Linked DNA regions of Drosophila melanogaster. The protein of the gene in region 2 interacts with the protein of the main gene of each other region in a pairwise test. Each region holds a gene or a part of one and is shown on either strand. Other genes may lie near its edges.

Region 1 (5,027 bases), 2.2 Mb from region 2:
ATCGAAGGGAGCCTGCAGCTGCAGGGACTTGAAGCTCAGGGTGTTGTACATGTTGTTGACGGCCGCGGACTCGAGGGTGAGGTTGCCGCACGAGTAAGAGAACGTGGTTGGGGCATTCACGCCGCTGGAGCGGAAGTTGTTGTTGTCGTAGACCAAATTGCTCAGACTAAAGTATCCGCCATTATAAACAACGTCAAAGGTGATTGGCTTGTCGGCGACAGATGTGTCCATAACAACGGATAGCTTGGTAGAGCTAGAGTTGGTGAGCTTGAGGTCGGTGACGGTGATGGGGTTGCCGTTGTAGAGCAGGGCAGTGTAGAAGATCTGAAACTGATTGGTCGACTTCCACATGATGCCACCGGTTGTGGCGGCGGTGTCACGGCGGGTACGACGCTGCACCACAGGAGCCGTGGAGGGGGCGGCCAGGTACAGATAAGCCACCTTGCACTCGAACTGCTTGCTGATAGCAGCTATGGCGGCGTCTAAATGTGTTAAATCATTGTTAAATTAGTGTGTCTTATTGACGCCTTTGTAGTACGTTATTGTTGACCCACCATGTGACTCCAGACTGGCCTCCCGGCTCTCGGCGGCGTCCTCGAAGGTCACAAACAGGGCCGTACCTACGGCACACTTGGCCGGCGTGGTCAGCTTTCCACTGGCATCGATGGAGTTGTGCTCGCGCTTGGCGGCCACTGAGCGCAGTGCCTCCGAGGGGTTCTCCACGCTGGTGTAGTAGGTCTTGGGGCTCACTCCCTGCAGCTGGGCGTAGCAGGACTGCGCCTGGGAGTTGGAGCACAGGAAGTCCTTGCTGCTCAGCTGAGTTGGGGAACAAACACATGTGTCACAAGCCCTAGCTATCTAAGTGGGTTCTCAAGCACTTACGCCATTTTCCTCGAAGGCCACGACCATGTGATCTTCCAGCAATGCAGCCAACTGCTCGGCAAACTCCACTTGGGACACCGTCTTCAGGGAGGGTTTCGCCACACTGTGAAAAAAGGAGGAAGGCACTCGTTACACTCACATTCAACTGGTGCAGGCGCTCACCCACCTGTTGGCTCCCCACAAAAAGACGGGCGTTTGCTCCGCCACGGCAGCCCCAATGACGCACAACGCAATCAGCGATTTCCACAACATCGCGCTGGATTCGCTTACTTCGGTGGGGGTTTAATGGAAACAAAGGAGAACGAAAAATGCATAAGTAAGGAACCAAGGAGAACGCAAGAGGCACTAAAAACCAACCGAAAAGTGAACTGAAACTACAAACGAAAAATGGTGGTGAAAATTTTCGCTTTGCCTTGCTCGACGTCGCCTATTCCAGTGAGAAAAAAAACCTTATGACGGTCATGTGATGCGCACCAGCTGACCGCAGTGCTGTCTAAAAATACCAAAAGCGTGAGATTAGGAAAATACTAGAAAAAAATTATTCGACTCTGAGAGCATTTAGTAAAGCCTAATTGGATATTTGCACCAGGAACTGACATTAACTGGGTTTCTTTTCAAAATTAATACTTATAAGAAAGTATAGTTTGTCAAATAAGGTTCATATCTTCGGTGTCCAATTAGCGCAGTCACACACCTTTCCAGCTGGAAACTGTCAACGGAACCGGTTCCGTTAATTCCACATGTTGATTCTTTAAAACCCGTATGTTCTATTTCGCACTGCTTACTAATAGTTTAATTAAATATCTAAAGAAATTCGGGTTTTATACTGATTGCTTTTATAAGCTCGATTTGAACCGAGTTTTTATTTCAGTCTTTCCAGTTAGTAATTTTACGCAGTTCTAGCACGGCCACACTGTCCCGCAGGAAAACAATGTTTGTTATGATTTTACTGCGGGAATTGTGTGTGAAATGTGCCATTTGAGGACCTGAGAATGCGATTACGCCGCCGTTGGCCGCGAAGGATGCGGCGTGCCATGGAACAACTGCGTCTCCAGTCCCGCCGGAAGCTGCTGGCGCTCACGAGTGAGTTACCTTGCTCACCAGCCCCATTACTTAACTAATGTTCTTTTTTTTTCAATTTTAGTGACTGGAGGACTCTGCCTGGCTATCTGGGTAGTTGCCAACTATCTGTCCGCATCGGAGGAGGGCCAAACCGGCGGCTTCAGCAGCGCCTGCACTGCCATCGATGCGGTTTACACGTGGGTCAATGGCTCGGATCCCAACTTTATTGAGGACATCCGGCGATTCGATGACAAGTACGATCCCTCGCGGTTCGATGACAAGAATGAGCTGCGGTACTCTCTGAGGTCCCTGGAAAAACACGCCGCATGGATCAGGCATGTGTACATAGTAACCAATGGCCAGATTCCAAGTTGGCTGGATCTCAGCTACGAAAGGGTCACGGTGGTGCCCCACGAAGTCCTGGCTCCCGATCCCGACCAGCTGCCCACCTTCTCCAGCTCGGCCATCGAGACATTTCTGCACCGCATACCAAAGCTGTCCAAGAGGTTCCTCTACCTCAACGACGACATATTCCTGGGAGCTCCGCTGTATCCGGAGGACTTGTACACTGAAGCGGAGGGAGTTCGCGTGTACCAGGCATGGATGGTGCCCGGCTGCGCCTTGGATTGCCCCTGGACGTACATAGGTGATGGAGCTTGCGATCGGCACTGCAACATTGATGCGTGCCAATTTGATGGAGGCGACTGCAGTGAAACTGGGCCAGCGAGCGATGCCCACGTCATTCCACCAAGCAAAGAAGTGCTCGAGGTGCAGCCTGCCGCTGTTCCACAATCAAGAGTCCACCGATTTCCTCAGATGGGTCTCCAAAAGCTGTTCAGGCGCAGCTCTGCCAATTTTAAGGATGTTATGCGGCACCGCAATGTGTCCACACTCAAGGAACTACGTCGCATTGTGGAGCGTTTTAACAAGGCCAAACTCATGTCGCTGAACCCCGAACTGGAGACCTCCAGCTCCGAGCCACAGACAACTCAGCGCCACGGGCTGCGCAAGGAGGATTTTAAGTCTTCCACCGATATTTACTCTCACTCGCTGATTGCCACCAATATGTTGCTGAATAGAGCCTATGGCTTTAAGGCACGCCATGTCCTGGCGCACGTGGGCTTCCTAATTGACAAGGATATTGTGGAGGCCATGCAGCGACGTTTTCACCAGCAAATTCTGGACACTGCCCATCAGCGCTTCCGAGCCCCAACAGATTTGCAGTACGCATTCGCTTACTACTCCTTCCTAATGAGCGAAACCAAAGTAATGAGTGTAGAGGAAATCTTCGATGAGTTCGACACGGACGGTTCGGCCACCTGGTCGGATCGAGAGGTGCGAACCTTTCTCACTCGCATCTATCAGCCGCCACTTGACTGGTCTGCCATGCGCTACTTCGAGGAGGTGGTTCAAAACTGCACAAGAAATCTGGGCATGCATTTAAAAGTGGACACAGTCGAACACTCCACGCTGGTCTACGAGCGATACGAGGACTCTAATTTGGTTAGTACTTATGATTATATCTTACAGATTTATATTAATTGCTGACTGCTCTTTTAGCCTACAATAACCAGGGATTTGGTTGTCCGATGTCCACTTCTGGCCGAAGCTTTGGCGGCAAACTTTGCAGTCCGACCCAAATATAACTTCCATGTCAGCCCAAAAAGAACTTCGCACAGCAATTTTATGATGCTCACATCGAATCTCACGGAGGTGGTGGAGTCACTGGACCGATTGCGTCGGAATCCGCGCAAGTTTAACTGCATCAACGACAATCTGGATGCCAATAGAGGCGAAGACAACGAGATGGTGCGCCATCTGCTCGAGGACTTTTACCTCTCCTTCTTTCCGAGACGCAGCAAGTTCGAGCTGCCGCCGCAATATCGTAATCGGTTCGAGTCCTGGCGGGACTTTCAGCGCTGGAAGAGAAGAAAGCGGGCGGTTCTCGTGATTGGATATGGAGTGAGTCTGCTGCTTGTGGTCTGTCTGCTGCGATTCATGTGCCACCACAAGGCGAAGCTGGTGAGGCGCTGTGTGCAGCGCTTGTAGGATCGATTTCGTGAAGTTCTCTCCCTTCTGCAATGTTGTGATATGTTGTGAACATTTATGTAAATTGGCCATTTCTGCAAGCGATCATAGTCAAATCTAGTTGTAGGCCATGTGTAAGGCTATTTTTCTAGTTCTTTAGGTGCATGCTAGAGGCTACGTTTAGAAATAGTCATTAAGAATGGATGCGTAGTGAAATTTTTTAGAATATTTTGTGGTCCAGCTTTTGCAGTCGACCTGTTTTGTGTTCAGTTTCATAATATCTAAGTTTCTATATTACTATTTCTAAGTTTGGCTTTACAATGATATTTGCTCACCTTAAAAGTACTGAACTGAAATATTCTAAATACCTAGTTTAATTTTGTTTACAAAATACGTAACTCGAACATACACAATGTACACATATTGATATAATGGAGTACGCCTTAAATGATATTTATACATTTTGCTAGTGAATGTTCTTCATTCTAAACAAAATAAACCATTTCTATTGATTTCCAATGCTCTAGAAACTGCGAACATTTATTAAATTAGTTTTTTTTATTATGTTCACTGGCTGGCTGCTGTCCAAACTACAGATTGCTGTCAGCACTTAGCACCAGTTCCGGATTTCAGATTCCCCGGCGCGTCGATGATTACCGCAGAATTTGACCGCCCGCTGAGCGGTGGGCGTTGCCGAACAATTCACTGGTGGCTCTCGAGCACTCTAACTACGTCATCACATTTTCGCCCGGTTTTTTACGCTTGCGGCCAGGGGACAGTGGGTGGTTAGTAATTACGGCCGTGGGTGGCTACCCACGTCCGAGTTCGCCGATTCGTCTCTGGAATTATGGCCACAAAAAACCCAGACTCCGCACTTTGCGGCCCGGAAGCCGGTGGGCGGAACTGGAGCGAGTCCAGACAGACTGACACGGGTCTCCTTGGTCCCCTTTTCGGGGGGCGTGGCACGAGCTTGGGCAATAGCTCCCCAGCGTCGTGTACATATGATGATGATTTGCTCTTTTTTGGAGGAACATCTTGGTTTTTTTTATTATTCC
Region 2 (7,722 bases):
GTATATGATTTATACTTGTTTGTTTCTCCCAGGCATATTTTTGATAAAACTGGGCTGAGCACATGTAGTTGAATCACAAAATGTCGTCGTTTTCGATAAACGCACTAATTAATCATCCGAAAATTTACATAATTAACTATTCTTTGTTAAGCTATAAAATTTCAGTAACTATGATTTAAGAAATGTAACATAAGAAAATAATATGTTGAATAAAAGAGAAACTCTATAAATAAATAACTACAACGCTTGTCAGTTTAGAATGCGAATGATCATTACAATTAACTAGGAGGTTTCTATCAATCCGATTCGGAGTGAAGTGTATTAGTATTTTTGTACCCGTATCAGCACGTGTTGCATTCAACCGCCTTATTCTTATTTAACTTGTTATCAGTATTAAACCCGTTATTATCTATAACTAATAGTGAAGTACACATAGCCTATACTATAATGTTTCTAATCAGGAAACCTTAAGATAAAGCTAAGTGGTATTTTTAATCTAAGCCAAATTCGCTAGTCTAAAGACGTGACATTAACTTTAAAACCAGGAATGACCTTTTCAGACTCGTCTACACACAATATAATTTTAAATATTACACACTTTTTGGCGAATTTACCCTAATAATTAGCCATTTTATGATTATGATAATAATGAAAATAAAATTAAAATAAAATAAAATAGTTTATAATAATAAAAATAATGTTATATATAAAGGTCGAACAGTTTCAGACCATAATGTAAGCAAACTATACATACAAAGTGTGCCTACGTTGTTTTCGGTGTACTATCTCGATCATTTCTACTCTTATATTTGACTTATACGATTACACTTTATTTTACACCAAGCTCACAGTCATAAAATTGTGATTATACGCATTTATGAGGGCCTCATAAAAGTGTGCTTGGATTTGTGATCTGCGATTTTGCGGTTATTAATTTAAAATGGCAAATATACTTCGAAGACAACACCCATAAAGATAAAGTGAATTTGATTTTACGTCAAAATGTCATGGAAAAGTTCGGTATTCTCTGCTTGGAGTACACTAAATTAATTAAAGAAATTGTTTGTGAAGACATGATTTCTGGGCCGATTTCTCTGATAAGAACACCGAAAAGCAACGGAAACTTTTCTGCAAGCGTCACTGTCTGACGTGAATGATGGGTGGGTGTAAATATTACCCCTAAATAACTATTTGCAGTCCATAAATTTACTGATTGGTCGGAATTTTCAATTTAATATTTTTGCATGGTTTGTGTCTTGGCTGACGCGTGTGGGGTGTGGTGAGTTTCGGTGCCTGGCATGTTGTGTTTTTAAGCGGTGCGCCCGCGCAGCTAAACAATTTCGAATTCATTCCCTTTCAAAACTTTGGATAGTGCAATTAAATTAAATCGATGAAGAATTTGATATATATATCTATAAACGAATAAGTTCTCTGATTAACTTTCTTATACTTACGCATAAAGCTTATATTAAAGCGTATAGAATGTAAACATAAAAGCTCATAAAAACTAATTTGTTTTTAATAATTAGTTACACATTTATATAAACATTTAGTTAATACGCATAATTACATTATTTAGTTTTTTATAATTTAATTAATATAAATGTGCGCTCTTCGCATGAATTTATCTCTCTGCCCCTCTCTCTTTATAAATCGCGCTCTTTCTGCGCCATCGTTTTTGGTGCCTTTGGCTTTTTGCTGCCAAATGCGGTCGCGCAGTTTTTGTCGTCGAGTCAAAGTGCGCGGATCACTCCTCGAGTGAGCTAACAATTCCTGCCGAATTGAATTAAATATTTGTTAAGTGCAAGTTAAGGTGTTAGCTGTTGTTGTTGCCGTTAAGTCGAGTTCGTAAGCAGGTGGCAAAGGTGCCAAAGTGAGCTAATAGCAAAACAAGGTAAACTTCTAATTGAAAGTGATCTTGAAAATGCATAAAGTACATAAACTTTAAATGGGCATATCAAAAAGAGAATATTTCAACATATGTGTATTATTAATGTTTTTAATTAAGTTTAGATCTAATCAAATCAGTTATCCTGCAATATTATGCTGTTAATGGTGTATTTATAAGCTTGTAATCGATTTATTTATATTTAGTTTTTGAGTTTAATATAAACTAATGAAATGTAATTGCTTATATAGCTAAATAGTGACAAATTTAATAATTTAAGTTAAGCAAGTATAATTCAAAGTAACTAAAGTTTCTCCCTGTGCACCGAAACTAATGCTGTAATACCGTTTTGCATTTTTTTCTAACCCCTTACTTCGCCATTTATCAAATCTACTTTGATCTGTTTTCCTCTTGTTATGATTTTTGGAATTTTGTGAGACCGCCCCCGCATGTCAATCGTAAAAATATAACAATTTATGTACAATTTTTACTTTTGACCGCCAGCACGATTCTGAGTAATTAAAAGCCGCGAATATAAAATGTTATTCTTGCCAAAAGATGTGTATTTGAAAATTCATACATTTGGGACATTTCATTGTGCTTTTCATTTTGAAACCAGCGTTGCGTGAAACGATGCGGTCGTGCGATCTGTTTAAGCTTTTAAGATTTCTATATGTTTTGGTATTGTGTTCATTGGCTAATTGTTATTTAGGTACGGCAATGCCATGATCCGATGATATGGTAATGGGTCTTACAGAGCTTGGGGCATTCAGTTCGCTTCATATCTGACACTTGTGATTGATGGGTTGACCGCAGCAATTTTCTGGTCTCTGATTTGGTAATTTAAGTGAAGAATGTCCATCAGAAGCCTGGCTTCACTGTGGCCCCGAACACGTGTGGGAGTTTGGGCTATTAACTTTGCAATTGCCTCTGTGTGTGTGTGGTTTCCCCCCACTTTTATCGCTCCTGCCCCTCCCACGTTCGGCGTTGCATACAAATTTAGGGCTTAAGTAAGTTTTATGGCTTTTTAAGTGACAAAGTTGCGGCAAACAATTGCAAACGTCTATATCGCCAAATGCCATCAGGCGACGAACGCAATTGGAGCTAGGCCAGATACAATAGTTCAAAAACAATGAATATGAAGTCCAGTTCCCTGATTTCAGGCAAAGTTAACAGCTAGTTCCTAAGCTTTAATAGTCTGCATTACATTGTTGTCCCTTAACTTTTTCAAAAAACACTAAAATAGTTAGAGATCATGTGACTGCCATATTGGTAATTACTTTGATGCCAATAAATGCTACTCAAAACGGCAATAGTACCGAAAACACTTGAAAAGTGGTCAAGATAATTTGTATACTCGCTTTTAGAGTCCATAAAAATACATCAAGAAAGCAAAGCCAAAGATATTAGCTCATCAGCTTCAGAAACGGGAGATTTATACCCGTGTTATCGGCATGTTTTTAAATTAATGACGAATGTCTGCGTATGCGGCGATTTTTCTTAACGACATTCTTCAATATTTGCATATAATTAAATTTTATTGGAACACATTTTTAGCCGCCCCTCGGTTCAATTCGGCGAGAGTTCAAGTTCATGAACCCCTTGTTCATACACGTTTCGAAAGTCACAAAAATGCCTCGAATGACGAAAATCAGAACGAAATGCGTTGAAATGCATTCGACTTTGTTGTGTGTGCGAAAATATGTGTGAATTATGTGGATTTTGTTCTCGCCGTTTGTGCTAATTTGTTGAGCAAACTTTTACTTTATTGTTCGGATATTATGCGAATTGGCACGGACCCACTTGTACACTGGCAATTAGCCACATTTGTTGGCGCGCTATTGAAAATTCCAGAATTGGTGAGGGGCATATTGGGTTTCCAATTATAAAACAAGCTTATCATCCATAAATTGCGGCCCGAAATAATCGCAAAGCAAACTTTAATCAGAGCCGATTAATTGCTTAGATTTTTCATTCGAGGACCCAACACCTTGTGGTTGTACATACACCATTTAACCATTCTCATTAGCTGCAACCAAAGTGATAATCAGCACCTGTGAATCCGCACTACGGAATGTCAGTTAGTAGCTGGCCAATTAAAGCATTTCATAGGAACTAATAAAGATTATAATTACATGCTCAAATTGTTGAATCCGTTTTCACAATGCATGATTAACGGTCGATGACAAATATTGAAACTCTCAGGTTTTTACCCCGTTTTCCTCAAACCTCCAGTCAATGGAAATTGTTGTGTGGGTAGATTTTCGCTCTATGGCAAGGCATTCCACTTATCCGTGGGCCCAACCTTAAGTCAACTCAATTACTATTTGATCATCCAGCGCACCCCCTGCACCTCAATTAAGGAATAGAACTCGCTTTTTCATATCAGAGCACTTGAGTCTATTGGCTGATATCGATATGGGGCTCATGCTCGTAGATGACGCAAATGAAACACGAAATTCATTAAGATTGCATTAGAAAAGTAAATACTCGAAGTGATGAACAACTTGAATGCTTTGCGAGCATAGAAAATGGGAATTAACATTGAGCGCTCACTGATTGATTACCAAATGAAATGATATATGCAATATAAATTATTTTATACATACATACTCGTATGTATTTTTAAAGCTCTCGATGTTCTTGATGTGTGGGGGCATGGCCAACAAGTCTTAGCCCATTTTTGGGCCTGTTCGTGACCGCGTTGCGCCAAATAAGAAGAGCAAAGCAAACGCTTTCCACTGATGCCACTCTAGAACACTCTAAAAAAAAACCAGGCCTAATCCCCCCGCGGCTACAAAAACTGCCGGTTAAAAACTCAATTGCGAGTTCTGTTCACTCCTGACGGCGTTGTGCTCAAATATTTACATCGTTTTTATGACCCGTTGCCAATTAAATATTATACACTTTGTTTGTTTTATATATATTCTCACATGCAGCTGCAATTGCTGATAAGCTGGCAGTCGTCGAGTTGAGAGGAGGATTGCCCAGTTACCCACTGGCTGCCTCCAGTTACCCACTTTTAATGACAAGTGCTAAAGTTGAGCATTTAATAAATAAACGTAGATTAAGAATTTTTGGGACACAAGCCTTGAGTTAAATGAAAACCCCTAGACTTTTCCAATTGAAGACCAGACAGAAGTGTCGGCCAATTAGGCATCGTGACGGAAATTGCAGCGGAAATGCAGATTGTCAAAACTGTCACCAAAGGCCAAAACAATATCGCACCTTAAATGAGTGATAAAAGTGGCTAAATACCTGCTGAAGTCGGACAATTGTCCACTTCCATTTTCAAACACATTTCCATTTGCATTTTGGATTGCCATTTGCATTAACTACCAGACATCGTTCACTGATATTTCCGTTGGTCTTTTTTTTCAGTCCGTCAGTTTTAGTTGAAAAGTGAAGCGAAGAAGATGGGAAAATTCGAATACTCACTGGGTCTCAATGAGGTGAGTGCAAATCATACAAAGACAAAGTTTAATCGAAATACCAGTCAGTTATTAAAAATATCATTAAATAATGCTACTTTACTTATTAATTTGTCTTCTAGCTCAAATCCAAGGAGCTGCGATTGTGGCAGGCCTTGATTGGAGAATTCCTTGGCAATTTGATCCTCAATTTCTTTGCCTGCGGCGCATGCACCCAAATTGAGGATGGCACCTTCAAGGCCTTGGCTTTTGGCCTGGCTATCTTCATGGCCATCACGGTGGGTGGCTCGTTAATCTACGACATTATTCATACCCATATTCAACTATATATCCTTGCAGATTGTGGGCCACTTGAGTGGTGGTCATGTGAATCCTGCCGTTACCGCTGGAATGTTGGTCGCAGGACGAATTAGCTTGATCAGAGCCTTTTTCTATGTGGTTTTCCAGTGCTTGGGTGCAATTGCCGGAACTGCAGCGGTTAAGGTAGGCATTACACACATAAATTATTACATACATCTGAGTGAAATTATTAAAACAAAATACTCATCAGATTCCACTATTTCTTATATCATCATCATCAATTATATAGAGGTCGTCATTATGACAAAAAAATCTAACCTATCTTTACTTCTATGGTATATCTACAAAACAGCATTGCCAAAGAAAAGTCATTTGGCTTGTAAGTGTCTCAATCAGAACTGCCAGATTTCAAAATCAAATCCAAAATGTAGTCAATTAAAAAAATGTATAAATAATAATAAATATAAATACTTACTCGTTGTAAGATGATTGTTTGCAATGCTTTTGAGCTTATCTCGCTTTCTTAAAATAACACACTGAGACACATATGTACATACATGTTATTAAGTTTATTATTGTGATTGCCTCACATCCGGTTGCGGTTAAAAATGCCTTGTGTTTTGACCATTACTTTCTTTCGTTGAGTGGATAAATGATACGGGTACGCCAATGTCAAGAAAGTACTTTGATTAAATACTCGTATTTTTCGGTTTTATTTTGTATTAAAAACTACACATTTTAAAAAACAAATGATTTAGTAGAAATCACCAGTTCAATGAATCAACTTAAAATCTAATAGTTTAAAGTATTTTTACATACTCAACAAAACTAAGAGCTATATTTATTTTTAAGATTAAGATATCTAATCTAATCTATCTATCTATCTATATATAAATATTTTTTTTATACCAACACATTAGATTCTCATCGATCAGGACTATTACAATGGCCTGGGTCACACCTCTCTGGCGCCCAATATCACCGAGCTGCAGGGCCTGGGAATCGAGTTCTTCCTGGGACTCCTGCTGGTGCTCGTCGTCTTTGGGGCCTGTGATCCCCACAAGCCCGATTCCCGCTACACGGCGCCCTTGGCCATCGGAATGGCGGTGACCCTGGGTCACTTGGGCACCATCCGCTACACCGGGGCCAGCATGAATCCCGCTCGCACCGTGGGCACCGCCTTTGCCACCGACATCTGGGCGTCGCATTGGGTATACTGGGTGGGACCTGTGCTGGGGGGCGTGGCTGCCGCCCTGCTCTACACCCAGGTCCTGGAGGCGAAGCCCGTGCCAAAGGTTAACGAGGCATCCGAGAAGTACCGAACGCACGCCGATGAACGCGAGGTGAGAGTCAGGTTGATAAGCGCCTGGAGCGAGGAGTCCTTCTACTGATCCGTGATTCCGCCCACCCATTACACACACACACACACACACACACCCATCACACACACAAACACTCACTCACACTTGCATTGTAAATACTCCCGAATTACTTGATTTCAGGGATGCAAACCGAACCACAACCCGAACCATTTGGCATATACATATCTCGCTTAACTATAACTATTAAATGTGTTATGTTTTATCGCTTTAGCAGCAGATATTCGTATACTAAAGATATTACGACCTGCACGCAAAACTAATCTAAACCGCTTTTGTGAACCGAATACGATTGGTTTAGAAACTCTTCAATCCTATCAACCGAACCCGTCCGCCATTTCGATCGGTTTGCATCCCTGTTTAATTAGCTAACTAAATTTTGTATTATTGCAATTTATTTACTTGCAGATGCGCAAACTGGAGGGAGCCCGTGACTACGCCTAGATATAAAGAAATCTTTGCGACTCGAATCTAGGGATACAGATGAAATCTGTGTGTTTAATCCATTCATTTCAGTGTCTAACATAAACATGTCGTGTTCTTCTACGTTCGTGTGTATTTATGTATTTATTCATGCAAAATTCATTTTTAACTAACTAATATTTAATGTGTAAGCTGCCCTAAAATGCAATCTACAACAAAATTACTTGTACTCTCATGCGCTCACAATAAAGTGGAAAACATTAACTGAAACAAACTGGTGTTTATCGATTTTGTATCTTAA

The links. Proteins that work in one complex are often made in the same cells at the same time.
Region 1: the proteins of Prip (region 2) and Gnptab interact in a two-hybrid assay, tested with the Drosophila melanogaster proteins (one large-scale study listed by BioGRID).

Annotation. Positions count from the first base shown.
Region 1 is NT_033778.4:9,203,872-9,208,898, reverse strand, and holds Gnptab (N-acetylglucosamine-1-phosphate transferase subunits alpha and beta), read left to right. Parts: upstream 1-1,774; 5' UTR 1,775-1,874; coding exon 1,875-1,965; intron 1,966-2,026; coding exon 2,027-3,447; intron 3,448-3,504; coding exon 3,505-3,993; 3' UTR 3,994-4,489; downstream 4,490-5,027. Other genes in the region: VhaAC45 (vacuolar H[+] ATPase AC45 accessory subunit), read right to left, coding at 1-482, 555-816, 883-985, 1,049-1,134.
Region 2 is NT_033778.4:11,434,529-11,442,250, forward strand, and holds Prip (prip), read left to right. Parts: upstream 1-1,714; 5' UTR 1,715-1,894; intron 1,895-5,269; 5' UTR 5,270-5,304; coding exon 5,305-5,340; intron 5,341-5,441; coding exon 5,442-5,597; intron 5,598-5,658; coding exon 5,659-5,802; intron 5,803-6,539; coding exon 6,540-6,962; coding exon of another isoform or gene 6,963-7,010; exon of another isoform or gene 7,011-7,092; intron 7,093-7,121; coding exon 7,122-7,175; 3' UTR 7,176-7,212; coding exon of another isoform or gene 7,213-7,233; 3' UTR 7,234-7,344; intron 7,345-7,406; coding exon of another isoform or gene 7,407-7,442; 3' UTR 7,443-7,688; downstream 7,689-7,722.